Linked DNA regions of Macaca fascicularis. The protein of the gene in region 1 interacts with the protein of each later gene in a biochemical or structural test. Links are inferred from orthologs where the notes say so. Each region holds a gene or a part of one and is shown on either strand. Other genes may lie near its edges. The genes, in order: CD6 and ALCAM.

Region 1 (15,494 bases):
GCCCTGCAATCTCCCAGCCCCCAGCCCCAGCTGTCCCTCCTACTACTTAGAGAGGTATCAGGAGTCTGGGTTCTGTCCTTGTGACCTGGCAGCTCTAGGCAGGAGAAGGACAGATGTTTGCTCCTTCAAGAAGCCTTCCTAGAGTGAAACCCAGATGGTCTGGAATTACTGCATCACAGGCTCTGTGGCATCTTCAAGTTTCAGAAACAGATTTGTAGAGTCTGGAGAATATGATTGTCTGGGATCTTGGAGTTAGCTCTTTTGAATCTGGTACCACTGACTTTTAATTTCAATGTTATAGCATCGTGGACTTTTAGTCTTGCATCTTACATGCCTGGGCTCACAACCTCAGGTTTGATAGACACTTCATCCCTGTGGCTCCCAAACATTGGTCCTCAGGCCAGAAGAAGTGGAATCATCTGTGTCCCAGCCCCAGAAGCCCTGGGTTAGCAGGCGGGGCCGGGACAGCTGTCTGTTGCCCAATATCCATTCTGGCTTTTATCTGGACACAGCTGCCCAGGACAGAGATTTCGTTTCCCTGCCTCTCTTGCAGCTAGTGGGTTTGTGTGCTGGGTGCTGGGTTGTGAGCGGGAATGCTGTGGCCATCTCCAGCATCCTGTCTTTCCCTTGCCCTTGCCTGGAATGTGGACATGCAGGTGAGCCATTCTGGACCATGCAGATGAAGGCAACATCTTAGGGACTACACAGCAACAAGAAAGAAGGGGCTGGGTCCCTGCCAACCTCTCAGGATCCTGTCATTTGGAGCCTTCGGTCACACACAGCCAAACTCATCCTGACTGATACATTAGGTGTGGGGAGGGGCTCAGGAATTGTTGACAAGCTCCCAAGTGATTCCACAATAGGGTGTGGGATGCGCTGGTCTATTCCAACCTCCCAGCATTGCCCGGGCCCTGCCTTCAGCGTTATCTTTCCTCTTCCTATCCCAGAAGGCAAAGAAAAGAGCCAGCTATGAGGCGCAAGCTGGCATGAGAGTGGAGGTAAAGAAGTGGGTGGGGCTGATGGGATCAGACAGGGCAGGATGGGACATGGAGGGATATGGGCGGGCAAGAACCCCTGCCAACTGTGTGTCTCATCTGCACTCCCCCATCTCTCACACAGAGAGCCATCTTTAGGTGAGTGTCAAAGGCCTGGTTTTAAGACCCTACATGGCCGGAGACAAACATGGGAGAGACAGAGGTCAGAGCGGAGATGTCCTGAGACATCAAGATGACCCCAGGGTCACAAAGCACTGTGAAAACGTCAATGTGGGACCATTTACAGTCAATCCAGTGGGTAACCAGGGGGATTCTGTCCACGTCATGCAGGGGTTACTAGGTGGGACTACTGACGGTCCCCTCGGGGTCCCCTCCCTGATTCAGGCAGGTGGGCCCTCGGGAACCCAGCCAGGCACTCACTGTAGAAGGTGGTCAGGGCCACAGGAGGTTGGGCGCTGAAGTCATAGTGCTCATAGTCTGAGTCCGAGCCAGAGTCTGAGTCCTCAGGGGGCGGGGCCTGGACCTCGATGGGCAGCATGAAAACTGGGGAGAGAACAGAGTCGGGGGCATGGCAAAGTGGTGGGCAGAAAGGTATAGGGAGAGATGGTAGAGAGTATGAACAGCAGAGGTGAGAGGCAGAGTGGCAGGAGAGCACCAAGTAGCCCTTTTTTTTTTCTTTTCTGGGACAGGGTCTCACTCTGTTGTCCAGGCTGGAGTACAGTGGTGCCATCACAGCTCACTGCAGCACTGACCTCCTGGGCTCAGGTGATCCTCCCACCTCAGTCTCCCTAGTAGCTGAGACCACAGGCATGCACCATCACACCCAGCTAATGTTTGAATTGAGAAAGGTTTTCACAATGTTGCCCAGGCTGGTCTCAAACTCCTGGGCTCAAGCGATCCATCCCCCTCGGCCTCCCAAAGTGCTGGGACTACAGGCATCCACCACCGTGCCCGGCCTGGGTAGCCCATCTTGCACAAACCACCCAGTCTGAAGTTTCTAGGCTGCCTTCATTCATTTCCAATATGGAGAACTAAACATTTATTTAGCAAACGCTTAACACAGTACTTGCTATATGTAAGGCACTATTCTAACACTTACAAGTATTACCTCATTTAACCCTCATGATAACTCTGTGAAGTAGGTACATTACCATCCCCATTTTACCTTGGAGGGAACTGAGGCACAGACAGGTTCTTACCTGGCCCAGAGCCGGCAGTCTGGCTCTAAACCTCTAGACTGTGCTATTCGGTGAGCAACTGCCCTGTGCTAAGCCTTGTGCTAGATGCTGTATTCACATTCTCTTCTCAAATATATGGACACTCTGTGCAAAGGATATTTACAATATTTGGCTGAGTTTTGTATTGGTTTTTATGTCATTGAACTCTTTCCCATAAAGGTGATTGAATATATTCATAATGCAAGGTGATTAAGCTCAAATTCCTCTGCAAGACTTTCAAGAGGCAGAAGTCCATATCTCATAAAGGATGAATGACTGACCTATTTTTTGTTTTTTGAGACAGAGTCTTGCTGTGTCTCCCAGGCTGGAGTGCAGTGACGTGATCTCAGCTCACTGCAACCTCCGCCTCCCAGGTTCAAGCGATTCTCCTGCCTCAGCTTCCCAAGTAGCTGGGATTACAGGTGCACACCACCACACCCCGCTAATTTTTGCATTTTTAGTAGAAACGAGGTTTCACCATGTTGGCCAGGTTGGTCTCCAACTCCTGACCTCAAGTGATCTGCCCACCTCAGGCTCCCAAAGTGCTGGGATTACAGGCGTGAGCCACTGTGCCTGGGCCCAATTTTTTTTTTTGCTTAGAAAACATGAAATATGAAATAAAACCACATTCTAGGAGAATCTTGATGGGGCTTCGCAAGGCCAATTGGGCAGGATGCTGACAGGGATGATGATATCACAAGCCTACCAGCCAAATAGCAGAGCAAAGCAGAACAGAGTTTTCCTCTGAGAACCAAGATCTAGACCGTGCTTAGCCTATATTTGTCCAGAATTCAAAACTCTAGAGTCCTAGTGTGACTGAATTGGAAGTCATCTGCCCTTCAACGTCTAGGGATGACTTGAGCCTGCTCAAGGTCCCAGGGCTGTGAATGGGCTGGCCCAGATCTCATCTCCAGCCGTATGTACGTCTTGGACCTAAGCAGTGCTGACCTTCCAGAAAGTGCACCCTTCTTGTCCTCCCCAGCCCTCCCACACCCAGGATGGGGGACATCCTACCTTCTTTGGGGATGGTGATGGGGACCGGTTGATAGCTATTGCTCCCTGCTGGGTTGGTGGTGGGTAGGTGCTGGTGGTTCACCATTACGGGGAGGGCTGAGGGAGGGGAGGCAGAAATTCTACAAGTCATTTTTTTGCCCTCTCCCAGTCTACCTGGTTCCATTCTGTTCTCATCGAGACACCACCCTCCTCATTCCCCCAACACTTGCAGGCACGCGCACGCGCACACACACACGCACACACATGCACAGAGCCTGGTCCTCCCCGCTGGTGGGTACACGACTGCTGGGCATGCTGGTAAAATCCTTTCCACCATGGGGAGTTCCCCAGGGCCAGGGTCTGGTGGCCATTGCTGGACCACACCACTGCTGCGGAGGTTCTGCCGAGGCCCACACCCCCCTGGGATGGCAGTGGCTCCCAGAACCTTGCACTTACCATATTTTCCTTTAATTCTCAAGAGGATGAAGGCTATGAAGATGAGGGAGCCAAGGAGAAGAATTCCCAGAACGATGGAGGAGATGAAGAGCATTAGCTCCCGAGATTCCTTGTTCTCTAGTTTCACTGTCACAGAAGATTCTGGAAACAAGAATTCCAATGCAGGAAGAGGAATGGGCACTCAACCTTCTTTTTGCCTTTCCATTCTCTATAAAGCTGACCTGCTTCCCTTTTTATGTTATCTTCCTCCTTGCTTTCTTTTTCCATTTTTTCCCAACTTCTTTTAAGTGGGTGGTATACATTAGGGGCTCAATAAATGCATACTGCATGCATGATTAATTGATTAAATGAATTACTGCCTGAAATACAACTCTGGCCACCAGGTTGCAGAGATCTATCTGTCTGCTAGCTCTTCAGTATTTAGTCTTTGTTCAATAGACAATTATTGAGTACCCTGTGTGCCTGGCACTAGACCCTGGGGCTACACATATGACAACAGTATCATAGGCCTTGCAGGGCTTTGTCTAGTGGAGAGGTCAATAAGTACCCCAATCCAATATGGTGAGGTACCTGCTGTGATGGAGGTTTGAACAGCGACACTGGAGGCATGAGGCCGTATAAAAGGCACCCCATTCTCTGTGAGGGAAGCCCAAGGCTGACTTCCCAGAGATGGCGACTCTGAGCCACCTCTGGCAGTGAACAGACCATCAGGAGAGCTGTGCCTGAGACCCCCTCCTTCCCACCAGACATCCCCTCCACGAGGACAGGAGTGGGGTCTGGGATTCAGGGTCTCCCGCCTCTGCAGCCCCACTCTGGGGTGACTTCTTGCCTTCCCCCTCCCTCAGCCTCCCCTCTGCTTGAAAGAATGCAAAGCACAAGAATGGATACAGGGGGCAGTGAGGAGGGTGCCTGGAGTGAGCAGACCACAGGGCTAGATGACTAGTAGTGACAGCGACGGGGAGGGAGATGAGATCATCCAGACCTCCTTGCTGGAAGCAGTGTCTGCTTCCCCAGGAGAGAACCTGCTCCCTGTCTTCATTTTCTCTTCTCCCCTTTCTGTCTGCAAATGGGGAAGTTTGGGCCAGGATGGGAGCTGGATCTGGCAGCAAGAAGTAGATGTGAGAGTGAGGCTGGGTGTTGCAGCCATGGGGAGACCCGTGAATGTGGGCCGAGAGGGCCGTGGCCGAGGGAGGGGCTGATGAACCAAGGACCGGGGCATGGTCCCTGGATCTCTCTTTGTGCTTCACTCTTTGCCCTTCCGGGATGGTGTGGATCCCCACCCCAACTTCAGGAAGAGAAAGTGTGTGCAGGTTGTCTGCAGGGCCTGGCAGGAGCTCGCCCGGCAGCCTGTGCAGTTGTGTGTTTCATTTCCTCTCTGTGCTGTCATCCATGGCTAGGGCCTCTGTGCCCTCTCCCCAAACCCCTGTTCACTGCTTCTGGGGTGTCTGAGAGAAGATGACAGAGAGCTAGGAGGCACAGCAAGGGAGTCTGGGCCAGCCCCTGTGGGTATCCTAGGACTGCAAAGGGGCTCTATGCCTGAACTAAATACTCATAGCAACAGCAGACCTTCAGACAGTTCTTACAGTCTTCGAGGCTCTGTTCTAAGTGCTTTACAAAAATTAATTCACTGGAGCCTCACAGCAATGCTAGGAGAAAGGTGCTATATGCATATCACCCCCATTTTATAATTGAGGCATCTGAGGCTCAGAGAGGTTAAGAGTTGCCCAACAGGACACAGCTAGCAAGAAGCACAGCTGGGATTTGAGTCCTGGGAGTCTGCTCTGATGCCAGCCAAGCTACACACAGCTGGTGGGTAGACCAAGGACGGACCTGGAATTCAGAGCCTTGGTTGTCAATTCTGGCCAGCAATCACTAGCTATGACTTCAGCCTCAGAGCCTCAGCTCCTTTCTTGATGTAAGGATTATACTAAGACCTCTCCCATTTGGCTACAGAGAGGATTAAAGGGTTGGGAAATAATAGCTACAAAGCACTAGGCCCAGTGTTTGGCCTGTTATGAACACAGGGCTGTGTCCCAATGTTCCCGCTACCCAGCTGGGCCAAGATCACCCTACCCCTGCCGCCCCCTGACCCTGACCCCTGCTCGAGGTGGTATCGGCTCTCTCTAGCTCTTTCCTTCTTCCCTCCAGGAGCTCACAGGAAAGTGGGGGAATGGACTCCTGTCCAGGAAGTCTCAGGACTCAGTAATCTACGGGCTGACTTGGCAAGGAGGGGATGTAGAAAGAGTAGAAAGCGACGCCCAGAGAGCCCCCGGGGAGGCAAGTCCATTGGCTGGAAGTGGAGGATGGGGACCAAACCATCCTCAACCCCAACACAGGTGTGCACAGAAACACACACACACACACACACACGTGTCCAAGCTTCTGAGAAACCATGTAGTACCCAGCAACACTTACCTGTGGTGACTGTCTGAACACTTGCAGGGACTTCGGAAGTGGACAGATTGTGCAAACTCCGGGAAGCTGTCAGAAAGCACCGCCCAGTCACTCAATGCATGTTACTGAGCACCTACTGTGTGCCAGGCCTTGGGTTAGAAAGTGAATGGGACAGACAAGGAACCCAGAACTAGGGTTGTGCTCCTATCAGGGGCACGTGGCTAAGGAAACTTACATCCCTCCCCTCCTCCCCCCACAGTAAGGAGGAACTCATGGATTAAATGCTGGGAAGGCTCTTTGATTAGAATAAAGGGCTAATAGAATTATCCCTTCTTCCTGCGTAAGCTGCTACAGACCACAAATCCCTGTTCCATTCAGTTTCAGTTTGTTATTAATCGGCCTAGGGAGATGATGAGCTGACATTATCTTCATTATCATCGTCGGCATTCCCGTTGGGCAGGTATGCTCACAAAGATAGGAGCTTAAAAGTCTCTCAGCAGTGACCATCAGGTTTCCCAGCTATCCTGCGAGGTGCCTAGTATCAGCATCCACACTTGTAGGTTAAGGGACTGTTGGAAGCCTCCTTGCCAGTAAATGGCAAAGCTGGAATTTGTAACCAGGTGTCTGAACGCCGTAAGAACGCAAATATCATGTTTCTTCAGATCTATCTAACACTCACATTTTTTCAGACTTTAACACGTCTGAAACTGGGATCATAGCCTCAATCATTACGTTTGGTGGTTTATTTTGGCAGCGTTTGTTCTTCTTTACGGTACATAAAATAATAATGGTGTGACTTATAAACAATGCCATCTTAGATTTGGTGAAATATGGTAAAACCCAAACCATACAGTGCGTATGAGGCTTAGCTGAAATAAGAGCTACTTAGTGCTCAACAATGCCTAGCATATGATCAGGGTTCCAGAAGCTGTCATCGATATTTTTACTAGGGCCTGCTAATATTATTTTTACTATCATCACCAGGCCTGGGATGGCAAATTGGTTTCAACTCTTGAGTCAATCCCAGTTAAGAGGAACCGTTGCTTAGCATATAATGTCTTCATATACGATTCGTCATTCTGGGGCTGAGTGGGGCATCTGAAAATGCCTCGATGAATTAGCACTGTCTGCCTGGGCACCGTAAGGACAACGGTCCTTCTTATGCCGTATGTGCCATTGCCGATCTGGTGCCTATTGTGGTCCTTGGGCTGTAAGTTTTTAGGACATGGATTCAGGTAGTATTCTGGCTCATATCAGGGGGGTAGAGTGGGATGGGGTACCTGAGCAGAGGACCCTGGCTGCCAGCGACTGGCTGCAGAGGTTGGAGTTGTTGAACCGCCAGGAGCAGTTGGAGAGGGTGAGCTCCTCCCCGTTGCATGAGTAGTACATCCTGCCGGACAAGGAGTGGGGCAGCCCCTTGGGCCTCTCGATCACGGTTCCGCAGCCCAAGGACTGGCAGAGTACCTTGGCCTCTGACGTGTACCACTCACTGTCACACACTGTGTTCCAGACCCCTCGGAAGTGTACCTCCACCTGCCCCTCGCAGGCGTCGGCGCCCCCGGTCAGGCGCCAGGACTGGTGCTCTGCAGGAAAGGGGCAGGGGACAGAGTCCGGTCAGGATCCTTTGGGCAGATATTCCCGTCAGCCCAGACCCACCAGGGCAGGCACCAATGAAGGCATTTGGTCTCCAGATCTTGTGTCTTCTCCCTCCTGTGTCTGTGTCCCCCTGTCACCTGCCCCATCTGCTCTGGCCAGCCCTGCTGTGATAAGTGTGGTCTGTGGAGCAGCAGCATCGGCATTGCCTGGGATCTTGTCAGAAACAGACTCTGGAGCTCTGCCTCAGACCTACTGAATCAGAATCCACATTTTAACACTCCCACCTCCCCCATCTCCTGCATATCAAAGAGAGGCACTGGCTGGTCCAGAACCTTCTGGCCTCACCTGGACAGACCAACAGCCTCCTCAGAGGCCTCCCTGCCTTCAGTCTCTCCTTGCTGCTTGAATGCAGGTGACCAACTCCCGCTCAGGAAGAGTCTCACTTTTAATGTCATCTCTTTCAGGAGGTGGTCAGCCTTAGCCTCCAGCTCCACATTGCCTGCTGCCTCTAGACTCCACCTGACTGCCTTTCTTGGGGGCATTTACCACTTTCTCTCCTGAATTACGTTTGTCTCAGTCTCATCTCACTTCCTGAACTGTGACCTCTCAAGGACAGGGACCACCTCTCCGGCACTAACTCCAGGCTTGGTGCCCAGTAGGCCTATGGTGAGTGTCAGTGGTGACCGCGCTTCAGTGACTCCGCACACTGACCTGAGCACACCACGCCCGCGTCCTCTTTGTGGCCGCAGTAGTGCTGTCCTGGCAGCCCCGGGCAGTCCCACAGGTAAGCTTCGGCCCCGGAGCAGTTCACCTGGTCCCGGTGGATAGGTCCACGGCCGGGCGTGAAGTGCAAGCCGGGCACGGCCTGGACTGCCCAGCCGCAGCCCAGTTGCCTGCACACCACGTGGGCATCCTCCAGGTCCCAAGTGTCATCGCACACCGATCCCCACTCGCCATGCTCCAGCATCTCCACGCGGCCGGCGCAGGCGCCGCCACCGTCCACCAGGCGCAGCGCGCGGTTCTCTAGGGGTGGGAGGGGGTTGTGGACGCTGGGGCACCCGGCAAGGAAGGGAGGGTTGGGGTGATGGTTGGACTGGCAGGAGAGTTGTGAGCATGTTATGGACCCAGTAAGAAGGCTGTAGCCGGGTAGGCAAGACTGGGAATCCCCCCAGGGCTGCAGATGGGGTAGGTAGAGCAGCAGGCTGGTGGGAGGGACCAGAGGCCTGGTGGGCGGGGCCTGGAGGGCAGGTTTGGTATCCTGGGAGCCACAGCGCTAAGGGGAATCCTGTGAACCTGGCATGTTTATGTATATGGGGAAAGGGGAGGAGATAGAGACCCAGAGCGGGCGGGGACAGGGAAGCGGCGGGCCCAGTAAGTGGGGTTAGAGACCGGGTTAACTGGGAATCCAGGAGTGGGACTAGGGACCAAGTGTAGGGGAGTCTGGGGGCCAGATCCGAGGAAATGCTCAGATCTGGAAGTGACTCGACGTCGTCCTCCGGTGTGGGAACCCGGTGCGTTTGCACTGGTAGGCGGTGAGGGTGGAGGTCTGGAGGGCGAGGCTTGGGTCCAGGGGCTGGAGCCAGGGGCAGTGGCTGAAGGCCTGGGGAGTGGGGCAGGTGGGGGCCTGTGTAGGGGGTGCACTCGTACCTGCACAGATGACGCGGGCCCGCCTCCCGTCGCTGCGGCACGCGTGCTCCACCACCTCGCAGAGCTGCCACTCGGTGCCGCTGCACAGGAGGGCGGGTGCTCCGGCCAGAGTGGCGTTAGCGGCAGCGCTTGTGTTCCCGGCCGCCGGCGGGGGCGGCAGCTCGGGGGTCGGCCGGGGGAGCAGGGTGGCTGCCTCCGCCCCACCGCAGTCCAGTGCTCGGCACACGGCCTCTGCGGCGCGGCTGTCCCAGAGCGCCCAGCACACGGGCTCCCAGGACGCCCTGAGCCGGACCTCCACCGTCCCGCTGCAGCTGCTGCTCCCGTTCGTCAGACGGACCGGAAGCCGCTCCCCTGGAAGTGTCAGACCAGTGAGCTGAGACCGGTGGGCCGGGGCAGGCGGTTGCCCAGGCTCTGCCACTGACTCTGCGTGACCTTTGACAACGCCCTGCTTGGCTCTGGGTCTCAGCTTTCCAATCTGCAAAATGGAGCCGGGCCGGCTCATCCCTGATCCCCCCTTGAGGCCTGACCCTGTGATTCTCCTTAGAGTCAGGCGAAGGTGGGGCTCAGGAGTGACTCTAGAGGTTAAGATGGGTGACAGACAACCAGGGATCCAGCCCCCACAAACCCTCCTCACTTGCTCCTGTCTCCAGGGGCACCCGTTTGTGAAAGAAAGGCAGAGTTGTGAGTTCAGGGGCCCTGGCCCAATGGGTACATGCTTCCCCTGGAGGCCCCTCTGCTCCTCTGAGGGTACTGTCCTAGAGGCTGCCACAGTAACCAGGGAACCCTGGAGGATTGCCAAAGGGCTGGCCATGGGGTTGATGATGGGCTGCTTCAGCTGATGGTGGTCCTCACTTCCCCAGAACCCCTTCTTTGGGAACCACCTGCCCCTTTTAGCCCAGGATTGTACCCCCAGTGCCAGCATGCAGCTTTGCATAGAGTAGGTCCTTAATAAATATCTGTGGAGTAAATCAAGGAACCATCTGGTGGAACCCTGCCACCCCCACCAAGAACTCTAGCTTGTTCTCCACAAATCCCCTTAAAATGCTCCAGGCATACCTGCCCACCTGTATGTGACTTATCAGTGGCCTCTCAAAAAATGGTAGTTCTACGATCTCAAAGTGAATTGATAGCGGAACTTCGGGTGATGGGTCAGGAAGAAGTGTTGTCTGAAGTCAGGGAGCCTCCTGGCATCCTAAATGTCCTTCCCTTCTTTATTACCATGGGGGACCACCTACAGAAAGCTGACCATGGACCCCCAGAGACAATGTTTGCTCACCTGGCTGCCAGACCTCGCTCTCTGCACTGCTGGCGTTGAGCTGGTCAGATGGGGCTGGAGACAGATGACCTGAAATGAACCAGCAGGAGCGTGGTGGGTGAGTGAGCTCAGGCCTGGAGGCCACAGAGGCACCCTGATGAGCAGGGGGCACTTCCTGGAGCCTGTGGTGGCTACATGAGGCCTTTGGAAAAGACATGGTCCTCAACTTTGGGTGCATTTGCATTTGCCTCCCTTCAGGGTAGGGAAAATTCTCAAACATTGGCGTTTCAAGATCCTCCGCTTTATCTATTCATTGCACACACATCTTCAGAAATCGGAGTAGAACAGGTAGGAATGGCAGTGGGCGTTGGGGCCAGACACACAAACTGGCTTCGTGACCATGAATGAGTGACTTAATCTTTCTGTGCCAGTCCCAATTTTTCAACAATGATACTTAGGAAAATATCATGAGACTGAAATTAGACAGCCCACAAAATGCTTGATATATAGAAAAACTCGAAAATGGGAGTGATTTAGAAAAAAAAAATTTGTAGAATTTGAGAATTTCATAACAGACTTTAGAATAATTGGCACATCCTCAACTGGGAACCACTGGATTGCAAAGTGTTTTCAGACACTAAGAAACTAACGTTCGCTAAGGACAGGTATTTGCATATATTATTCTATTTATTTTCTTTCTTTTTTTTTTTTTTTTTTTTTTTTGAGATGGAGTTTTGCTCTTGTCACCCAGGCTGGAGTGCAATGGCTCGATCTTGGCTCACCACAACCTCTGCCTCCCGGCGATTCTCCTGCCTCAGCCTCCCGAGTAGCTGGGATTACAGCCATGTGCCACCATGCCTGGCTAATTTTGTATTTTTACTAGAGACAGGGTTTAGCCATGTTCGTCAGGCTGGTCTCGAACTCCTGACCTCAGGTGATCTGCCTGCCTCAGCCTCCCAAAGTGCTGGGATTACAGGTCTGAGCCACTGCATCCAGCCTATTCCATTTACTTTCAACAACACAATGAGGCAGGTATTAGCATTCTTATTTTACAGATTAGGAAAAGGAGGCTCCAAAAGCAAAAATCAGTTGTCCCTGCCAGATAGGGTCCATTTATTCCACCAGAGCTACTATCCATTCTGCCCTGGGAGGCCGACCTGTTTGAATTAACCCCTGTCTTCCTGGGCCTTATGGCTTCTGCCAGATTCAGCCAATGGGGAGCCTTAGCAGAGATAGGAAGAAGTGAGGAGAGTGAAGATGTGACACTTATTCCTCTGGCCCCACCTGTGAGGTCCCTCGGGTAGGCTGTGTCCCTCATGTGAAGGACATTGTTTATTCAAGGTGACCTCTCCTTGACTGTCTCCTACTCGGACTCACTGACCGCTCCTTGGTTGTGTCTCCTTTGGCCAGAAGTTGCTCTTAGATTCTACTTACTGCATTACCTTGGTAAATAGTTCTTCTGTAAATGAGTCCCCTTTAAATTCCTATTCTAGGTGTGCCACCTGGTTCCTGCTGGGACCCTGACTGATGCATGGCCTGAGGCCACCCGGTGAGCAAGCTGCAGAGCCTGGATTTAAACTGTCTTCAAGGACTTGCCTCCCCTCTGGGCTGGGATGTTTGGGCTTGCAAAGCACAAAGGGAGGCTCTGGGGCAGGGACTTTTGTGGTTGCATATGAACTCCTCTGCATTTCCTGGTTTCTCTTGCACTTAGGGTGGGCTGGTTGAAGCCTAGACAGAAGACGTGTGCCCACTTTTGAGCCAAAGCAGGGAAGAGGTAGTGAGACTTTTGCACTTATGTCTTCCCTGTTGAAGCATATTAGAGGCCCTGGGTTGCCGAGGAACTGCAAGAGGGAAGGGGATGTTGACCCGGCTTGAATTTTGTGTGAGTAAGGAGTAAACCATGATCATGTTAAACCATGAAGATTTGGGGGTGTCCTTGTTACTACAGCCTTGCCTAGCCTGGCCTGACCGATACAGAGGCTGAAGACTTGGAATGACCGCTACACATTCCTGGAGTTTCACCTGAGCAGATTCCACGGACACGCCCCCTGAGCCTGAGCATGTGTGTGTGCGTGTATACACCCTGGCAGACAGCCCTCTCCAGGAAACCGTGTGGGCCTCTCCATCATCAGGCAGAAAGTCATCAGCCCTCTAATTGCCGTCCTCGCTAACTCCCTGGCTATCTGCCCAGCCTGACCTCCTGGAGGAGAAATGACTCCAAATTCAGAGCACAAACTCCGTGGCTGATGTATTATAATAATCAGCGCGAGAATTCAGATGCCCACAAGTTGGGATTTCAGAATCTCGGTTCCCACAGCTACGGTCCCAGTGCTCCAGCATAGTTTTCAATGTTACGACATGCGGTGGGGGAGGGGGATTGAACGATGGCTGCAGTGTGTATGACTGTGAGGTGTGTGCATGTGAGTGTGTGTGAGTGACTCTGTGCATATGTGATTAAGACTGTGTGTGTGAATGTGATGTGTGTTGGGGTGGGGGGCCTTTAACTCAACTCTATATCATTTCTCTCTCTGGGTCTGGAAAACCACTCTCTCATGCATAAAGACACAAATGTGTTCTCCTAGATCGGAAAACCCTAGAGGGCAGGGCCCACGGCTGGGTCAGCCCTGTGTCCCCCACAGTGTCCAAGGCAGTGTTTGTTGATTGACTGACCGAATGAAAGAGTGAGCAGCAGCTGCCAGCTCCAAGGCAGTTGGTTGAAAGCAGATAACCTTGAGGGCTTTATTTTTGCAACAAGCATTCTCCCATCCCCTATCCCAGGAAGGGAACCTGGCTTCTCTGTTCTCTGACTTCTGCACTACAGGAAGAAAAACAGAAATTACCTGGAACCATCTTTCCATCCAGGCCTCATTTCACAGAGGGCCGAATGCAAGATCAGCGTTTCTCAGACATCATGATCACCTTTTTTGTTTTGAGACAGAGTCTCGCTCTGTCGCCCAGGCTGGAGTGCAGCGGCGCAATCTCGACTCACTGCAACCTCTGCCTCCTGTGTTCAAGCGATTCTCGTGCCTCAGTCTCCCGAGTAGCTGGGACTACAGACGCTCACCACGATGTCAGCTAATATTTGTATTTTTTTTGTAGAGATGGGGTTTCTCCATGTTGTCCAGGCTGGTCTTGAATTTCTGAGCTCAAGTGATCTGCCCGCCTCAGCCTCCCAAATTGCTGGGATTACAGGCATGAGCCACCGCACCCGGCCCGTTGTTACCACCTTTGCCTGGCCCTGTGCCTCACACTTTTCTTTAAATTGGTTCACTTTTTTGCTACAATAAATGTATTTGAAAAGCAGCCTGCTATGGTTTGAATGTGTCCCAAAGTTCATGTGCTGGAAACTTTATCCCCCAATGACCTGTGTTGAGAAGTTGGATGTTTAACAGTTGATTAGGGCTGGGCGTGGTGGCTCACGCCTGTAAGCCCAGCACTTTGCAAGGCTGAGGTGGGCGGATTACCTGAGGTCAGGAGTTCGAGACCAGCCTGGTCAACATGGTGAAACCCCGTCTCTACTACAAATACAAAAATTAGTCGGGTGTAGTGGCACACGCCTGTAATTCCAGCTACTCAGGAAGCTGGGGCAGGAGAATTGCTTGAGTCCGAGAGGCGGAGGTTACAGTGAGCTGAGACCATGCCACTGCAGTCCAGCCTGGCCAACAGAGCTAGACTCTGTCTCAAAAAAAAAAAAAAAAGAAAAAAGAAAAGAGCTGATTAGTCATGAGGATTCTGCCTTCATGAACGGCTTAATGCTGTTATCATGGGGGTGTGTTGGTTATTGCAGAAGTGGCTTTGTTGTAGAAGTGAATTCAGCCCTCGCTCTGTCTCTTGTGCACTCTCCGGCCATGTGATGCCTTCCATTGTGTTATGATGCAGGGAGAAGGCCCTCATCAGATGTGGCCCTTAAATCTTGGGCTTCCCAACCTGCAGAACTATGAGAAACAAATTTCTTTTTGTTTTAAATTACTCACTTTGTGGCACTTTGTTATAGCAACACAAAACAGAGTAAGAGCAAACCTTTACCCTTTCCTGTGAATTTGCTTTTTTATGTCATTAAAGACACCTGAACATAAAAATATTCACTGCAGATTTTTTTTTTTTTTTTTTTTTTTGAGACAGTGTCTCGCTCTGTCACCCAGGCTGGAGTGCAGCAGTGTGATCTCGGCTCACTGCAACCTCCACCTCCCAGATTCAAGCAATTCTCCTGCCTCAGCCTCCCAAGTTGCTGGGATTACAGGTTCCCACCACCACACCCTGCTAATTTTTTTGTATTTTTGGCACAGATGGGGTTTCTCCATGTTGGCCAGGTTGGGTCTTGAACACCTGACCTCAAGTGATCTGCCTGCCTTGGACTCCCAAACTGCTGGGATTGCAGGTGTGAGCCACCGCACCCAGTCCACTGCAGATTTTTGAATGGCAAAAAGTTAGAAACAGCGTGAATGCCCATTTACAGGGGAAATTATTGAATCAATTATGGTCCATTTACAGCGTGGCATCTTATGCAGCCTTTATAAAGAATGAAATAGACCCAGATGGGTTGGCAGGATTTCCAAGCTGTGTCGAGTAGGAAAAGCAAGACGCAAAGAATAGAATATAATATGATACAATTTTTGTAAAACAAGGCCAAAAACCGCCTCTGTGAACTGGTATGATTACAGGAACATGAAGACAAGTGTGGGAGAACACACAGCAGATGATCAAAATGGAAAAATTAAAAGGGTGGGCTTCAGGGGAAGAGGCCGAGAAGGACTAGCTCCACGGGCTGGTGGACTGTGTGCAGGGCCTTGTGCTTAGAAGGACCTGGCCCTTGCTTGAATGCTCTGCTGTTGCCATCTTGAAATTCCTCATAATTTCTTGAACCAAAGACCCTGCATCTCCATTTTGCACCGGGCCCTGCAAATTACGCAGCTGGTCCTGGGACACAGTCACAGCCATGGA
Region 2 (15,972 bases), on another chromosome or scaffold:
TCATCTACCTCCTTGTCATCTAGAACACATCACAGAATTCTGGTGATTTCAATGAAAGCACATACATGTTTATAAATCTTTTTATGCATTGTCTTATATAACTGTTTTATATGTATTGCATTTTCTCACAAGCTTTTCACCTTGAGGTACAATTATTAAGTAAATTTCTTTCCCTTACAAAGAAAAGTAAACACATTAAACATCTCCACGTAATGTTAAAACGCTGGACATTAAATTAAATTAAATATTTGTCCTATAGCACTGTGAGCTGAATAGGTTATGAATCATCTATGTTTGTGGAATACATTGCTTAGAATTATAATTTTGCCAAATTCACCCGGTAAGGAACAAAGTATAAAGAACACTGAGGCTTAAATTCTTTAATACTTAACTAAGTCTGTAGACTTTGCAATATTGGTACTGCATCCATAATCATGCCTTAGTGAAATGTTATACAGAACATCATTCAGAATGTTTGCTCTGAAAAGAGTTTGGATAAATGTGCCATATTTGAAATTGATTAATGGTGTCTGATATGCATCCAGTCTTCTTATTATACTAAGAATTTGACTTAAAAGTTATAGGGTATCTTGTATATTTACCCTACTTGAAAGAAGTAGTTTGCATTTAAACAAGAATGGTACCCATAGCTATGTTAATTTTGGTTAAGTGTTCTGCCTCCTGGGACCTCAATTACTTACCTCATATGTTATATGAGGTAGTTAGATTATTCCAGTGGTTTATCTAACTGTCCTGGAAACCTTTAGAGTGTCTACAGGAGGAGGTGAAACCTCAGGCTTCTTATCAAGATTCAGCCCAAACAGCCCCACCTCTATCAGCTTATTAATTACCTTGCACAATAATTCATGTATTCATGAACCTGACTTTTTGAATCCAATAGTCTCCTGTGTCTATTATGTGACTATTTTAAACATATGGAAGAATATTAAACAGACACAAACTTCTGCCCTCATTGAGATTTCATTATGGTAGAGAGACAGACAATAATCAAACTACATGAGTTAAATGGATGTTATGCTATATGGTGATAAACTTTATGGAGAAAAATGAAGCAGGAAAAGGAATTTGGGGGCTGGGACTGACAGTTTAAATACTTGTTTATGGAAGGCTTCAATGAGGAGGTAAGCTACAGTAATAACTTGGGGAAAAGAGTTCCAAGGAGTGGAAAGAGGAAGTGCAAAGGCACTGAGGTTGGAGTATGCAAAGTACATTTAGGAGCAGTGAGGAGACTACCATGATTTGAATAAATTGAACAAGGGGTAAATATAAAACTGGACTTCAGAGTATTCCCATATTAGAAGAAAAAGGGTTGCTTTTAAAGATTGAAAACAGTTCACTTAAGATAGTTCTAAGGCCCTGAAAAATATTAAAATTCAAAAGTTCTTGCTTATAGTATATGATCAATGATCCTTGACTCCATGTTATTAATACTTCTTTTTTTGCTAATCAATAATAAAAAGTTTTTGCTCTTTAGGGAGCAAAAACATACATTTGTCCAACAATCGTTTGTTAATACTTTCCTGCAAGCTTAACTATCTTACTTAAGGGGAAAATAGTATGGATAATTAGGGCCTAGTAATTAATTAATTAATTTGACTTTCTAGAAATCCATTAGATCCAAGGTGACGTTTTTGCTTTAGAAAATCAAATATATATTATTTTCATATTTTTATAGTCATTATATATTCACCTCATATTCCTGAATAGAACTATTGCAGATCACAATGGGTAATCAATATATATCAAAGAAATTAGAGATAACTCTGGGAAACTTCTTGAAAACATATAATTCAAGTTGGAATTTCTTTTAAAGCATCAAACATTTAAATAACCATACCTTGAGTCATTTTCTACTTACTCAAAACTAAAAGAACTGCTTATTTCAGTTGAAAGTGGGAACACTCGGAAGAGAAACCCTCAAGTTAAGGGGTAAACCCAGACTGTTACACTTTTTGTACGTACATTTATGCACTTACTGAAATCACCCACGAATTATGAGTTTTTAATACACTGGGAGTTTTTGAAATTCATTTTATATAGTGTAAGTTTCATAGTCAAATAGCGTAGCTAAATTCTTTCTTCATTCCTCATGTCTGAGACAGGAAGGAAAATGACTAAGTGGATTTCTAGTTCAACTGAAATAGCTATGCATTTCTTTTTGTACCCAGACTGAACGTTCTGTGAAATAAGAACATAATGTTTATCATAGACTTTGAAAGTTTTTACTCTCCTGAGCTTCAGTGATATGTCTTTATTAGCTAGCATTATTGAAAAGGTGAGTTGCAGAATTGTATTAATTCATTGACAGACGACACGGTTAACAATTGAAATTAAACAGTAAAATTCAATGGACTCAGGAAGAGATATACCCAGAGGTCCTCCATGTGTATTTAATGCAATAACATTAGAAATCATTTATTTAAAAAAACTTGGAGTCTAGAAAAAAACAGAAATTTATATTATACAGATGTAATCTCTGTGCCTCTTTAAAATTGTATATCTTCCTAGACTTAATATAAATCCCACTTAGGCCGTTATTTCAATCTTTGTCATCAGCACATTAGCCTAAGCCCTTGCCTGGTCACTTAGAACCTTTACTAATCAGGTTTCTGTGCTCAGCATGGGCCATTTTGTTTTATTCTAATTGATGGCACATAATTTAGTACAGTCTTTCTCCCGTAGATTGTTTCCTCACTTTATACTTCAAAGTTATCACCTTGTTGACTAGGACTTGACTCATTCTTTTTGCCTTTCCTAAACCTTAGTCTGCCTAGACCAATCATTGAAGACCCAATGGATACCCCTTTCATCTTCTCATAACATGAACCCTTGTAAGTTTGTTTGAAGGTTTATATTCTATTAGGTATTTTTTCTCATCACTTATCATTCATTCACAAAAATTTATCAAGTGTCCAATCTATTTTTAAAGTATGGCTGAACATGTACTCACCGTAGGTGAGGGTTGAAGGAGAGAAGAGTGAATCAGATTTGTTGCATGCGCTTGAATTGTATACAATTTTGTTCAAGGAGTAGGAAGGCAAACAAAACACAATGATATACAGTGGTAAGAACAAATGTTTTCACCTTCCAAAACTATCTTTGTTGAAATTTCATCTCCAGTGGAAATTTTGTGGTGACTAATAAGGGGAGAAAAACTACTTCCATTCTTCAAATGCACACACAATTGACTATGTTGTCACATACTGATGGGATTAAAATTTTAGTACAGGGAAGGGGTCCTGGCCTGAGCCTTGGGAATCCTGAGTCCTGATCTCAACAGACCCTAAGTAGGAAACTTGCCTCTGGTACCATGTCACTGCTTTGAGCATATCATCCTGATTGATGATGAATTCCTTTATACTTAAAATACAAAGCTCTTCTCATGTCCCAGGTAACGTGAAATTTTTCCCCCCTGGATAAATGTTATTCATTTTTCCCTTTCAGCAAGATGTACGCTTATGATGCTCTGATGCATGACTAAACTATACAATAAATATTATTGGAATACTATGTATTCTCAATTGTAACAAAAGTGACTGTGATCTACATGTAGCTGGAAACACTCTTCCTCTCAAGAATTAAGTAAGATGGATCCAATCCCACATTGACTAGATTTTGAAAGATAAATTCTATTATATTACTTTGTGGAGCTTACATTCTCATGTTTATTTCTAACTCTGAGCTCTTGCTTATGCTACATTATTTCAGTTTAGAAATGGTCTTGTCATCTCACATGCACTGTACCTGGCCTATGCAGATAGGGTGTGCTGCTTCATTAGTAAATTTCCTTAATGCAAATGTATGTGAAAGGATGAGAGAACTTACGTTTAAATCAATCACCCCACCAAAAAAGCCATACATTTATTGTTATGCATTCTTGATAAGCAAAGTGGATAGCGATGAGCAAAGTAGACTGGAATTCAGTTCAAGAATAAGAATGCCTAGGGTAGAACCCTGGCTTTACCATTGCTATGAATCATTGGGTGACCTTGGAAAAGTTGCTTCAAGTCTCTGGGTTTTACTTTCTTCGTGAGTAAAATGAAGATGAAAATAGCACCTCCTTCAATAACTTTTTATGAGGGGAATACATCTAATTCATATAAATTGCTTAGAATATTCTAACATGTAAGTGTTGCTAATTAATAGATCTAACGACCTTTGAACATTTTTAAACTCATGCTTTGTGTGGTTGCCTTTGCCCCCACTCCCAGGCCAAATTTCTATTTTAATGGTTATTATTTTGTTTAATATAGAGCAGTTTCACCATTATTTTTTTATGACCAATAGCCTTTGGAGTTACTATTCCAAGTGGTTTATCAAGGCATTTTCCTAAACTAGGACACATTCCTTTCTAAAAACAATTCTGGAAACAATGGACTATGCATTCAAATATATATTATACATATGCACATATATATATGCATGTTTATGTGTATGAGTATAATATGGACATATTTGTATTGTCAGTTGCCCCCAGAATTCCACGTGTTTGTGTGTTTGATCCCATTTGATCCTCACAGCAATCCCATGAGGCTAGCACTATTACCACTTTTTACAAGAAAGGAGACTGAAGCTTAGAGAGGTTAAATGGGTTGACCAAGATCATACAGTTAGTATCAGAGCCCAAATCAGTCTTCCTTTTGCAAATCTACTTTTAAACAATTAGGCTGTATAAACTCCCACTGCAAAATAGAGGAGGTCAGATAGAGGGTTCGAGGGCCTAGGTTAAATATATTGTTAGGACAATTTATTCTAATATGCCCCACCTATAGCCACAGTGAAAAAGAAAACAATTCCCTAAAGGAATTATAAAGGAGTCCATGGAAATGCTAGCATTTCAGCCAAACTTAGCTCATGGAATATAGAGTTAAAAGGCATTTGCCTCCTAGCGATAGCCTTCCTGTTGATTCATAAGATGCAAATGAAATGTTAATGTTTAAACTAAGTGGGAGAAACTACTTATTTTGAGAGAGAAAAAAAATATAGTATAAGAGTTCTACTCTAGAATATTGTTAATGTAAGAAGAACTGGACGAACAGGACAAGCAGGCTTTTGAGAAAAATTACAGCTGAAGATGGGGCTTAATAGTTTAGAGCACTAAAAGATAAATACTTTTTAAAATCTCTGTGTGTGTGTGTGTGTGTATGTGTGTGTGTGTTGCGAGTCTCCAGTCTCGCTGGTAACTCGCAGTCTTCTGATGAAAGTTCAGTATGTAACGATTACTAGTTGGCATCCTCTACTGGAGACCAGTCTCACAAAAGGGTGACCCTGTGATGTACGAAAGGCTATTTAATGCCCCAGCGAAGTGCTTCAGGGACCAAGATTTTATTATTCTTTGGTGATGAGAGTTGTGATCCTGCATCCCTGATTTAGAGCCACTTAGGGCTCCGACAGCTCCACCCCGGTGTTCTAGAGGAAAATATCCCTTCATGCTCTCTGCCTGATTTGAAAGCGACACAGCTTCGCGATGTTCCGCCTGGGAGGTGGTTCAATCTTTAGAAATTGCCTGAGAAGCCTGTCCATCTGCTGGAGTGCCTGGTTTTCGAGAACGGACCAAGACGGACTTGGCTTTTAATCTGAAATAATTTGATAATTTTCTGTCTGTAACTTAAAATCACCGCTTAACAAAAGTAAAAAAGTGACAAGCTTTCTAGAGGGCTTTTGTAGACATTGGGAAAATCCGTATGACGAAGTACGGTTTAGAAATTCCGGATTTAATTTCCCCCGGGAAAAACAAATATCTTCTGTTTGGTAGCGGGCAGTCGACTCACGTGGTCTTCCTTTAAAACAAAGTCTATGCCAGCCGGGGGTGAGGGAAGTGGTGGGAGTGAGCAGGGGGAGCAGAGAGATTCGAAAAGTACAGGAGGAATCAGTCCAGTACGGGGATTGCCCCTGCCAACCAGTAGCTATTCCTGTTAACTCCCAGGAAGCAAGTTTCCACCTTTGCCACTTCCTCCTGCCCTTTCCTTTTCCCTTCACTACGGCTCTTGGACCCAAAGTTCGCTCCCCACCGCCACCGCCCTGCCCCACTATTGTCTTTACAGGACAGAAGGCTGCAGCAGCACCGCGGAGAAAAATCCCTGAGGAATGAGTCAGTGAGATGGGCGTATGGGTGGAGGAAGAGGGCAGTCGATTTTTAAACCTCAGCGGGGTGGGTGGGGAGTTGGAAGCCAAAGGCCTTATCACTACCGCGCTGCAACATCACAGAAAGTGTTAGTCCCAGGGCTCTCCCGGGAGCGCGCGGCTCCTGTGCTTTCTCCTTATTGGCGGACCTGGACCTGGGGGCGGAGCCGCGGTGAAACCCCGCCCACCCGGACGCTAGGACAGGGGCACATGGTTCTCCCCGATCCCGGAGCTGGGCTCAGGGCTCGGACTCAGTCCTGCAGCGCCTCTAGGCTGCGGATCCTTGCTTCAACCACCTGCTCTGCGCCGCGTCCGGGGAAGTGGGGAGGAGACCGGAGGGAGGGAGGAGGCGGGGAGAGGAGGAAAGAGGCAGCTTACACACGCCTTCCAGTCCCTCTACTCAGAGCAGCCCGGAGACCGCTGCCGCCGCCGCCGCCGCCGCCGCCGCCGCTGCCGCTGCCACTGCTACCACCGCTGCCACCTGAGGAGACCCGCCGCCCCCCGTTGCTGCCTCCTGCGAGTCCTTAGCACTCGGCGTTTCATGCACATTGCCACTGCCATTATTATTATCATCCCAAGACAAGGAAAATAAAAGAAGATACCAGCGAAAAGAACCGCTTACACCTTTCCGAATTACTCAAGTGTCTCCTGGAAAGAGAGGGTCGTTGTCCCCGGAGGAGCAGCCGAAGGGCCAGTGGGCTGGTGTTGAGCTGGAGGGAGGAGGAGTTGGGGGCATTGCGTGGTGGAAAGTTGCGTGCGGCAGAGACCCGAAGGTGCAGCGCCACAGCCCAGGGGACGGTGTGTCTGGGAGAAGACGCTGCCCCTGTGTCGGGACCCGCCAGCGCGCGGGCACCGCGGGGCCCGGGACGACGCCCCCTCCTGCGGCGTGGACTCCGTCAGTGGCCCTCCAAGAAGGAGGAAGAATATGGAATCCAAGGGAGCCAGCTCCTGCCGTCTGCTCTTCTGCCTCTTGATCTCCGCCACCGTCCTCAGGCCAGGTGAGCAAGGGCCTGGGAGCAGCCCCAGACAGACGTGGGCCTGGAGCAGTTTCCTAGGTCCCCGTCCCAGCCTCGCACCCCCGAGGCAGTGCGCCTAGGCGCATGGATGAGGTAAGGGGACCTCTGTCCCGGCACAGAGCTGTCCCCGGGCTCGGTCACCTGTGCCGCACGTTTGGGGTTGGCTGGTTGGTTCAAGTTTGGGCATGAAGCTGGGGAAACTGGGTGAATCTCCAAGAACTTGGGGCTCCGGGGTTGTGGTTGCAGGGGCCCGTGGGCAGGATTCGCCTGACGCTCTCCGCTGGTCCCTGCGACTCCCAGCTAGGCGGCGGACTCTCGCCCTCTGACAGTTCCTCCTGTCTCTGGGTATCCAAGTCCACGTCACTGCGCCCCGAGCGGTTTTTCTTTCGCTTAGCTCTCGGATGAAATAACTGCCGGCACTTTTTCGTGATAAATCCCCTTGTAACTTCCCCTTGGTGAGCAGAGGAAGGGATGGGAGGGGTACAGAAGGAGAGGACTTTAATCACCTCCTGCCCCCCACGCCCACCTTGAGAAACCTACTGATGCTTCAAATCGTGGTTTCAACGTTCCCCCCTCCGGTCCCCGTCCATTGTCTGGGCGGGTGGTGAGTGTAAGGGTGACCGCAGGCAGATAACACAGCCTGAACAGGAATTAGTAGCTAGGTCTGGGAGACACCTCAGTGAGACGCTTGTGAATTTCCAGGACCTGCTCATAGAACCTCAGTTCTCAGTTCTGTACTGAGTCTTAGAAGAGAGAGAGATGGGGTGGGGGGGGGGGGGAGAAAGGCAAAATTCCCAACAACTAAAATATCTCGCGGGAAATCCCTTTCCGCACCCTCGGGGACGTCCGCTGGCATTGGTATCCTCAGACCCGCCTGGCGGCTGACACAAGTTGTTCCTAACAGGGTATTCTGTGCGCTCACAGTTGCCTGACAGAGCAGCAGGTTCCTTTGCTCCCCTAAACTGAAAATTTGGGGGATTTTTTTTTCTTTGAAGTTTTTATTTCTATCCCTGCGTAGACAGTTGCCAGTTAAACTCCTACTTCCTGGTATTTTGGCCTGTTTGTTCTTAGCTTTTTCTTTAGTTTTTATCAAAGAAAAACCTCACTTCCTTTTATCCGTGCATATCCCTTCAGCTGTCGGCAAGCTCAGGTCACAGAAGAGGTTTGAAAGCCTCTGAATCTCTCCCAGGAACTGGCAGGGAGAGGGGTTTGGGGGCTAGAGCCTGTGGAAGAGATTACAAGTGTTTGTGAGCTGCTGCTGCTGCCGTTGCTGTGTGTGTGGGCGGGAGGAGTGCCCTCTCCAGATCTCTTTATTAAAGTTACATTTCTGGGTGAGGTAATGAGCTCACCTGATGTTTCTGAGGCTGAGGGGGAAAAAAAAAAAAAGAAAAAAAAAAAAAGGCGTCTGCGTTCTCTGACAAATCTCGGGCTCTGGGGCGGGGACTGTGAAACCATAGTTCAACCGGATTTAAAGCAGGTGTCCTAGTGTAACAACGCTGGGGAGGTAGATGGAAAGGCGAGAACCCCTCGGGCCTGGCACAGTGTGGATTTCACTTTTTCGAGATTCCACTGTCCGATGGAGAAAATGACACTTTGGAGCCAGGGAATGAGTCAAGAAGGGAGGACAAGGGTGATGTCGGTTTGTAAGATGCAAACGTCCACACGCCCAGAGTTGGTTTCCGATTAACCCTCTCGATACTTGGAGAATGTAATCTCACCTACGTCCACACCCCTGACCACAGGCACATACCCAGTTTCCTTTTCTGTGCCGTCACAGGCGGGCCACGTCGCAGGATAGGTTTTTTTTTTACACATTTAACTGCTAAAAGGGGGAAAGTTCCGCTTTCAGACCTCCTGCGCGGTGATTCTTTTGGCGCCACAGACTCGTGTGTCCAGGGGGCACGGAGCTGCGCGCTTTCAGCGAGCGGCTGGCCCCGGCTCACCGCAGCCAGCCACGGTGAATCTGAGGATCCGATGCTCTGGACCCTCAGATCCGTGGTTTCTGTGAATTACCGAGCTGGCATTGCCGAAATTCTCATTGCAATATCAGTGTGTTTTAAAGGGAAAGGTTACAGCACTAAAGGCGCCGTGTCTACACTGAGGACGCAAGTCTTGGACAGTGAGTGCGCCTCCTTCGGGGCCCTCTGAATAACAGAGCCCGGTGGGGATGCGGTGCCAATAGCTGGCTTCATTTGAGGGGGGTAACTGACTTCCCCGCCGGCCACCCTTCATTTCCGGAGCAGTTTTAATAGTGTGTGTCCAGTTGTAGAGGTCAAAAACTCGAGTTTGTGAAACTGCTTCCCCGGGTCTTTTGGCCTGTAGTCGCTACACAGTCATTGATATATTTTAGGCGTGCCTCGTTACCTGTTTTGAAAGGAGAGGAAAACGAAAACTGAATTCAGAGATAAAGGCAATGAAATGTGTGTTCAGCATCCGAGGTAGCAATAATCTCATTATTCTTGTAGAAAGAGCGTCAGCCTGTGGTGACATTTTGTATTGCTTTAAAAAAAAAAAAAAAAAAAGGCTTTTCTGGATTATTTACAACAAGGAGGTGGGGCACTGCAGTTAACTCTTCACTTGGGTCATCTGTGTGAACCCCTCGATGGGATTTTTCATAACTACTCACTGATATAAGATTCATCCTAAGACATGAGCACACATAAAGCTTTCTTCAGTGGGATATTATGTTTGAAACATATCAATTGATCTCAAAAGGACTTGGGAAAGCATCAACTCAAATAATGTCCTTTCAAAGACTATTGATGTAGGACTACTAACATTGATTAATTTAAAAACTGAAAACTGTTTAATAGCCAATATATATTATTTTTTTCCTTAAGGATTTATTTAATCCAATAGCAATTTACAATTTAATGAAGTATTATTTGCAGTAAATTGCTTTTCTAGGCTTTCTTCAGGACAGCTACCTTCAGGCACTTAAGCAAATCATTTAACCTTTTTGGGCTTCAGTTTTCTCATATAAAACAAAAAGACAAGACTAAAGACCTACACTCTGAAATGCCTCCCAGCTCAAAAACTCTTTGTTTCTGAAGTCTTAAGGTAAAAAACCAATTTAGGCAGGCACAGTCATTTTTCAACACTATTTTTCTAAGGATCTCAGTCTAGACAAAATTCATATAAATTGTATTACTAGAAAAGTATCAGTGGACCCCAATTTCTAATTTCCTTTTTTTTTCTACCTTTAAAAATTCATGATAAAAATTCATGATAACATCTATGCTTACTCTTCCCAGCCTTAGTAGGGGGAAAAAAAAAGCGTGAAGGAGAGAAATTAGCCTTCCACTCTCCTGGGAAAAGAGGACCCAAAAGCAGGAAAGGATAGTAGGCCTCAGAAAGCCCTGTAGTGTAACCCATCCCTCCTGCAAGCCTGCCCCTATTTAAACTGCACACATAGTACCTAGAATGAGATATAAATGATGGTTTATGCTTAAATGTTCATGTTACAAAGCCTCATACTGTACATCCTAAAGTTGCTCAACAGAGAAGTTGATTTGCAACATGGTTGTAAATGCAAGACAGAAGGAAATAGAAAATACTAATACTTTTCTCTTGTTTTAAAACTTGTAGAAATCCAAAATATCTTGTCTTACCAGATTCCAAACCTTTTCTTACTTTGTAGAAAACTCAAACTAGCTTATCTTTTTTAATAGACATTCAGATGAAAATGCATGTCTACCACTGACTTATCAAAAAGAACATTAATAAAAACCCATTTTAATAGTCTTGTGTTATTAGAAAAATTTTATATTGTAGTAAGTATTCATGTGTTGAGTTTTTAACTATGTCATGTAAGAATGTTGTGACCTTGGGAAAATTATTTTTCTGCTCTTTTTCATTTCCCATCTGTGAATTTTCTTTCTGTGCAATGCATGGTTGTGATTGAGATTAGAATTCCTTTGCTCAGCATTTCAAATTTTTTAAGTAAAACATGCTATATTAATTAAGGGTTTTATTATATTGTTAATAGAATAACACTCTTTAATTTATTCCACTTAATTATCACTTTTATCATTTTATTAAAATAATGGAAATATGGTTTTTTTTCCTCTCTCTTTTTTCTTTTTCTCCCTCAAATTTTCATGCGACTAACCATGGGCCTTTGTAAAACTTAGTACCACCTAAGTTGTCAGTATTACTTGGTGTCAGATGACAGCAGTTTGTCAGATAGTATTTTAAATGCTTTATAATCACCATGTTTTACATTTCCAAACACACTTCTTTCTGTTCTGGCCATTTATTTAGAATAAAACACCATCAAAGAGTTCTGGCTCCCTAAAGGTATTCACTCAAGTAGACACATGCAATTTACAGCCCAGATATGCAGACGATCCACTTAGGTATAGCTGTGATAGAAGAGTATCTCTCTGTCTCAATGTATACATAGAAACTTAAATGTAATTTCTCACTAGGTGTTATTTTTATTCTTCATTGTTAAGTTTTCACAAAGGCTCATCTCATTTCTTACACATTATGTGCGTGACACATGTATGTGACATACGAAAAATGAACTAACTTACTGGAATACTAAATAATGGTTTCTCGGGAATGGTGGGTCATAACATTTATTTGGTTATTACTTTTGGATTTCAGCTTAGTTTATTTTCAACAAGAAATGGAAAAAATCCATTTATACTTTTGATTAGTTTTTTTATTAGGGTAGAATTTTCCTTTCCTTGTGGAGAGTAAATTCAAGACTAAAATAGATATTCTATATTCAGGAAGAGGATATTGCAGGCTATTTGGTAAGGCTACATCCTACAATTATTACAGTCTCCCTATAGTACGTAAGACATTACCATATTTTTGGAGTTACTGATATTTTCATGCAGCTAATTTCTCTGCTTAAATAATAAATTTTACATTCTCTTTTCTCCCTTATTATTGAATGGAATACCTTATATATTTCAGATAGGCCTAGTTCCAAATGTGCTGTGGTATTCAGTAATTGTTTTATGCTAACCTATTATCATAGCCCATTATTGTAGTCTATGTTCCAAGAATGAAATTAGCTTTTAATGCTTCCTCTCTTACTTATCCAGTCAGTTCTCAATTATCCATTCAAATAAGGGGGAATCAGAGTTGTGCACAATCCAAAACAGCTTCTAACCAAAGGCTTACTTAATTTGACTTTGCGTTGAGGTACTTCAATGAACATGTCTGTGCTTGTCTGGTCTAAGAATTCATAGTACTTCAACACAATGAAACTAAACTGCTGGGGAATAGGCTAATCAGAAATTAGACAGCTGTCCAACTTCTCTGATTTGCTTCTCTATTACTGTTATTATTATTGTTTTAGCTCTTTTCTGTATCACTTAAGGAACTGATGGAAAATCTTGGCCCAAGTAAGACGAAAAACATCTATGAGATGAAACTCAACCTTTGCAATCTTTTCAAATCATATAAATATTATAGACTCTTGATGTTCATTCACAGGAAAACATATTATGATCATGGCAATTGCTGTAGTCTTCTGGCCTTTGCTCAATGACACTTCCATTATGAATAATTTGTTTAGCTCTGCAAAATCACATTTCAAGTTTTAGAAAAATTTTACCCTCACCTGGCCCTTTTTCTGAAGCAAGTTTTTTATTACATCATACGAGTTTCCATGAATAAATGAATAATAAAGCAATACCCTTTTCATGGTATGAGTTGGTTTGGCAGCCAGGTAGATTGACTCCCCAGTAGGATATTCACACACCTGCTTTTCGAAAAAAAATTGCTACTTATCATGGATTATGGGGCTACTGTAAACAGTGAAAACAAGTAATATCAAATCCATAAATGTTAGGAAGATTGGAATTTATAATAAAAAAGACTTTATTTTTGATTACTTTAACTTATTATGAAGCTCTAACCAAAGAAGTTAACTGAATTTGTAGATTAAGATATCAACCAGCACTCCAACACAATGTTTTCTTGAGGGAGATAAATCTCAAATATACTTTCACCTTAGAAATTGATGTAAGTAGATTTTTATCCTCTCCATCTGTATAGTTTTAGAGAGTCTAGGTTGCCTTATTTGAACTGTGAATGGGAAAAAAAACAAAAACAAAAAAAAAAACTTTCCTGTACTTACTTGCCTTTGGTGCAGAATCAACATTGGAATGTTGATAATGACTAAAATGAGTCTTAACTTTTCCCTTTCCCTGTACTTGTTTTTGCTGTAGCTTTTACCACATCGTATTATGATATTAGTGACTTTTTTTTGCAGTTGAACATAAATTTTTTGAATACCAAATATTATCTTTGTCTATGTATCCTCAAGTCTAGTCAAGAACTTGACACCTAGAAGCTGCTTAAAATTTTTATTTTTATTTTTGCATTAAATAGAGTAGAAGCAATGCATCTGTGGAGAATTAAACTCCATATGGCAGCACCTGACATTCATGGATTACTAGGAAATTTTCTCAAGAAGTTTGGGAGTTGGGGATATAATATCCTCACTGAGAATTGAATTGGAAAATAAAACCATCATGAAAGAACAGAGTGGGACAGGCCATCAAGACCTGATGGCACTTTGGTAGTATTAATGAAAAACAAAAAGAAAAGAACGTGTATATTAGTAAAGGACCTGTGATTAAGGATGAAAAAGGCTTTGGTTATTGGAGAAACAGGAAAAGTAGAGGAGCTGGGCCAAATATGGTTATTGAAGGTATTATACTTAATGAATCCAAACACTTTCTTTTATGGTGAAAGTAAGTGGCCCCTCTAACTGGCAGCCATGACTTGCCCAGTCTCCTTAACAGGTATAGCTTTTTTGTTGAGATAGATAAAACTCATTATTAAGAACCTAATTCTGGGACCAGGCTCAGTGACTCATACCTATAATCCTAGCACTTTGGGAGGCTGAGGCGGGTGGATCACCTGAGGCCAAGAGTTCGAGACTGACCAGCCTGGCCAACGTGGTATAACTCCGTCTCTCTCTCTCTCGCTCTTTTTTTTTTTTTTTTTTTTAAGAACCTAATGCTCTGAATATTCAAGTCAAATAGTAAACTTTCCCATCCTGAGATTTCATGGTCACTAAGAAATCTTCTAATTATAATGTGAGGTTTTGTTTTTTTGTTTGTTTGTTTGTTTGAGACGGTGCCTCGCTCTTGTTGCCCAGGCTGGAGTGCAATGGTGCGATCTCTGCTCACTGCAACCTCTGCCTCCCGAGTTCAAGCGATTCTCCTGCCTCAGCCTTCCAAGTAGCTGGAATTACAGGTGCCCACCACGATGCCCGGTTAATTTTTTGTATTTTTAGTAGAGACTGCATTTCGCCATGTTGGCCAGGCTGGTCTCGAACTCCTGGGCTCAGGTGATCCACCTGCCACGGCTTCCCAAAGTGCTGGGACTACAGGCGTGAGCCACCACACCCGGCCCAATGTAACATCTTATATAGCCAATTTACAGTCAGAGGATGCACTAGCTGGAAGAGAAGCATTGTATTTCCTTGGCAATAACTGCTCTTATGTATACCAATAAGCTTGTTTATGAGATTGTCTAGTGAGAATCCATCCCTAAAAGATGGGAAAATGTTTGGTAAGCAGCCAAAAGAAGCTTCTAAGCTTTCAGGGTCGAAACCTACACATTGAACCCTTCCAAATTCAGCTTGTTTGAGGTACAATCAGCTAACCATTCCCCAGGTGACACCTATGGTGTCATTTGTTGTCAACTTCTGTGTTACCTACTATAGACATTTATTTTCTTTCTTTTATATCTTTTGGTGCTATCTTGCTTAATATGCACATTATTAGTAGGTTGACTATTCATACTTCTTGGTGTACCCAAGACCGTCCTGGTTTATGCCTCATGTGCTGGTACAATTATTAATGGCATCCTTTTTCATTTTCAGAAGTGTATTTTGGATAACATATTATACAGGCCCCACAGTAATTTGTAACTTGTCTGTCTATATGTCTTGGAGTACTTCACTGCAATAAATGCACTCTTCATCCTAACCAAGTTCATATTTTTAACCCATTTAAATTTAATTATCAGCTACAGTGAAATATCATTAATGGGTTATATTCCCCTTTCATGTCAGGTATAAGAAAGAAAGATGATGTGAGGTTGTAGCCTCTAGAATTCTAGAGTGTTGTAGATATGAAACATTAAAGATCCCATGGTTTGGAATGGAAACTAAGGTGACCTCAGATGCCAAGGGAATAATTTTGTTTGAAATTCACCTGGGAGCTACACTTAGCTACGGCGTTATTTAGGGAAGAACTACTTCAGTATGAGTTTGAATTCTTTTTGCAGCAAATTGTACAACTTCCATTCTGTTCTTCTATGAGATTTCTCAGTAATCACACTACCAATTTGGTTCTTTAAAAAAATCAGGGATATTGAAGGAAGTCCCAGCGTTCTTCTGTACATGTAAACTAAGTGGTATCAGTCAGAAAAGGTGACTTGATGTGGCAACCAACAGTATGGTTGGACACAGTTGTAGTCGAGGGTGTGACAACAGCAAAGACACTTATTGCAGAAACTTTGACCTTGCATTAACAATTTTCACCTTCTAGATCCTTGGGTAAAACATATGACCTTTTGAGAGGCTCAAGCAGTGTTGAATAAGAATACTGTCACTTAGAGTTAAAACCTTAACTCTCCCCAGAGTTAAATTATGGAAAGTTCAGTGTGTGTGAGTGTGTGTGTGTTGGGGGTTGGAGGGAGAAAGAAAGACAGAGAGACAGAGAGAGGGAGAGAGAATGAATTCTGAAGGATTAGAGGCATGCAATTTATTGTCACAAGTTAAACTATGGTAAAAGAAGGGTTGTTGGAAAAATGAGAATGTTCTTTTGATGAT

Evidence for each region.
Region 2: the proteins of CD6 (region 1) and ALCAM form a complex in vitro, tested with the Homo sapiens proteins (4 studies listed by BioGRID and IntAct). The link is inferred for Macaca fascicularis from reciprocal best matches to the Homo sapiens genes CD6 and ALCAM.

What each region holds. Positions count from the first base shown.
Region 1 is NC_088388.1:13,256,986-13,272,479, forward strand, and holds part of CD6 (T-cell differentiation antigen CD6), read right to left. Parts: intron 10,644-15,494; coding exon 10,575-10,643; intron 9,650-10,574; coding exon 9,299-9,649; intron 8,675-9,298; coding exon 8,363-8,674; intron 7,639-8,362; coding exon 7,336-7,638; intron 6,143-7,335; coding exon 6,077-6,142; intron 4,001-6,076; exon of another isoform or gene 3,803-4,000; coding exon 3,662-3,802; intron 3,323-3,661; coding exon 3,227-3,322; intron 1,539-3,226; coding exon 1,416-1,538; intron 1-1,415.
Region 2 is NC_088376.1:177,701,435-177,717,406, reverse strand, and holds the start of ALCAM (CD166 antigen), read left to right. Parts: upstream 1-6,372; 5' UTR 6,373-7,069; coding exon 7,070-7,142; intron 7,143-15,972. UniProt on the Homo sapiens protein: Cell adhesion molecule that mediates both heterotypic cell-cell contacts via its interaction with CD6, as well as homotypic cell-cell contacts. Promotes T-cell activation and proliferation via its interactions with CD6.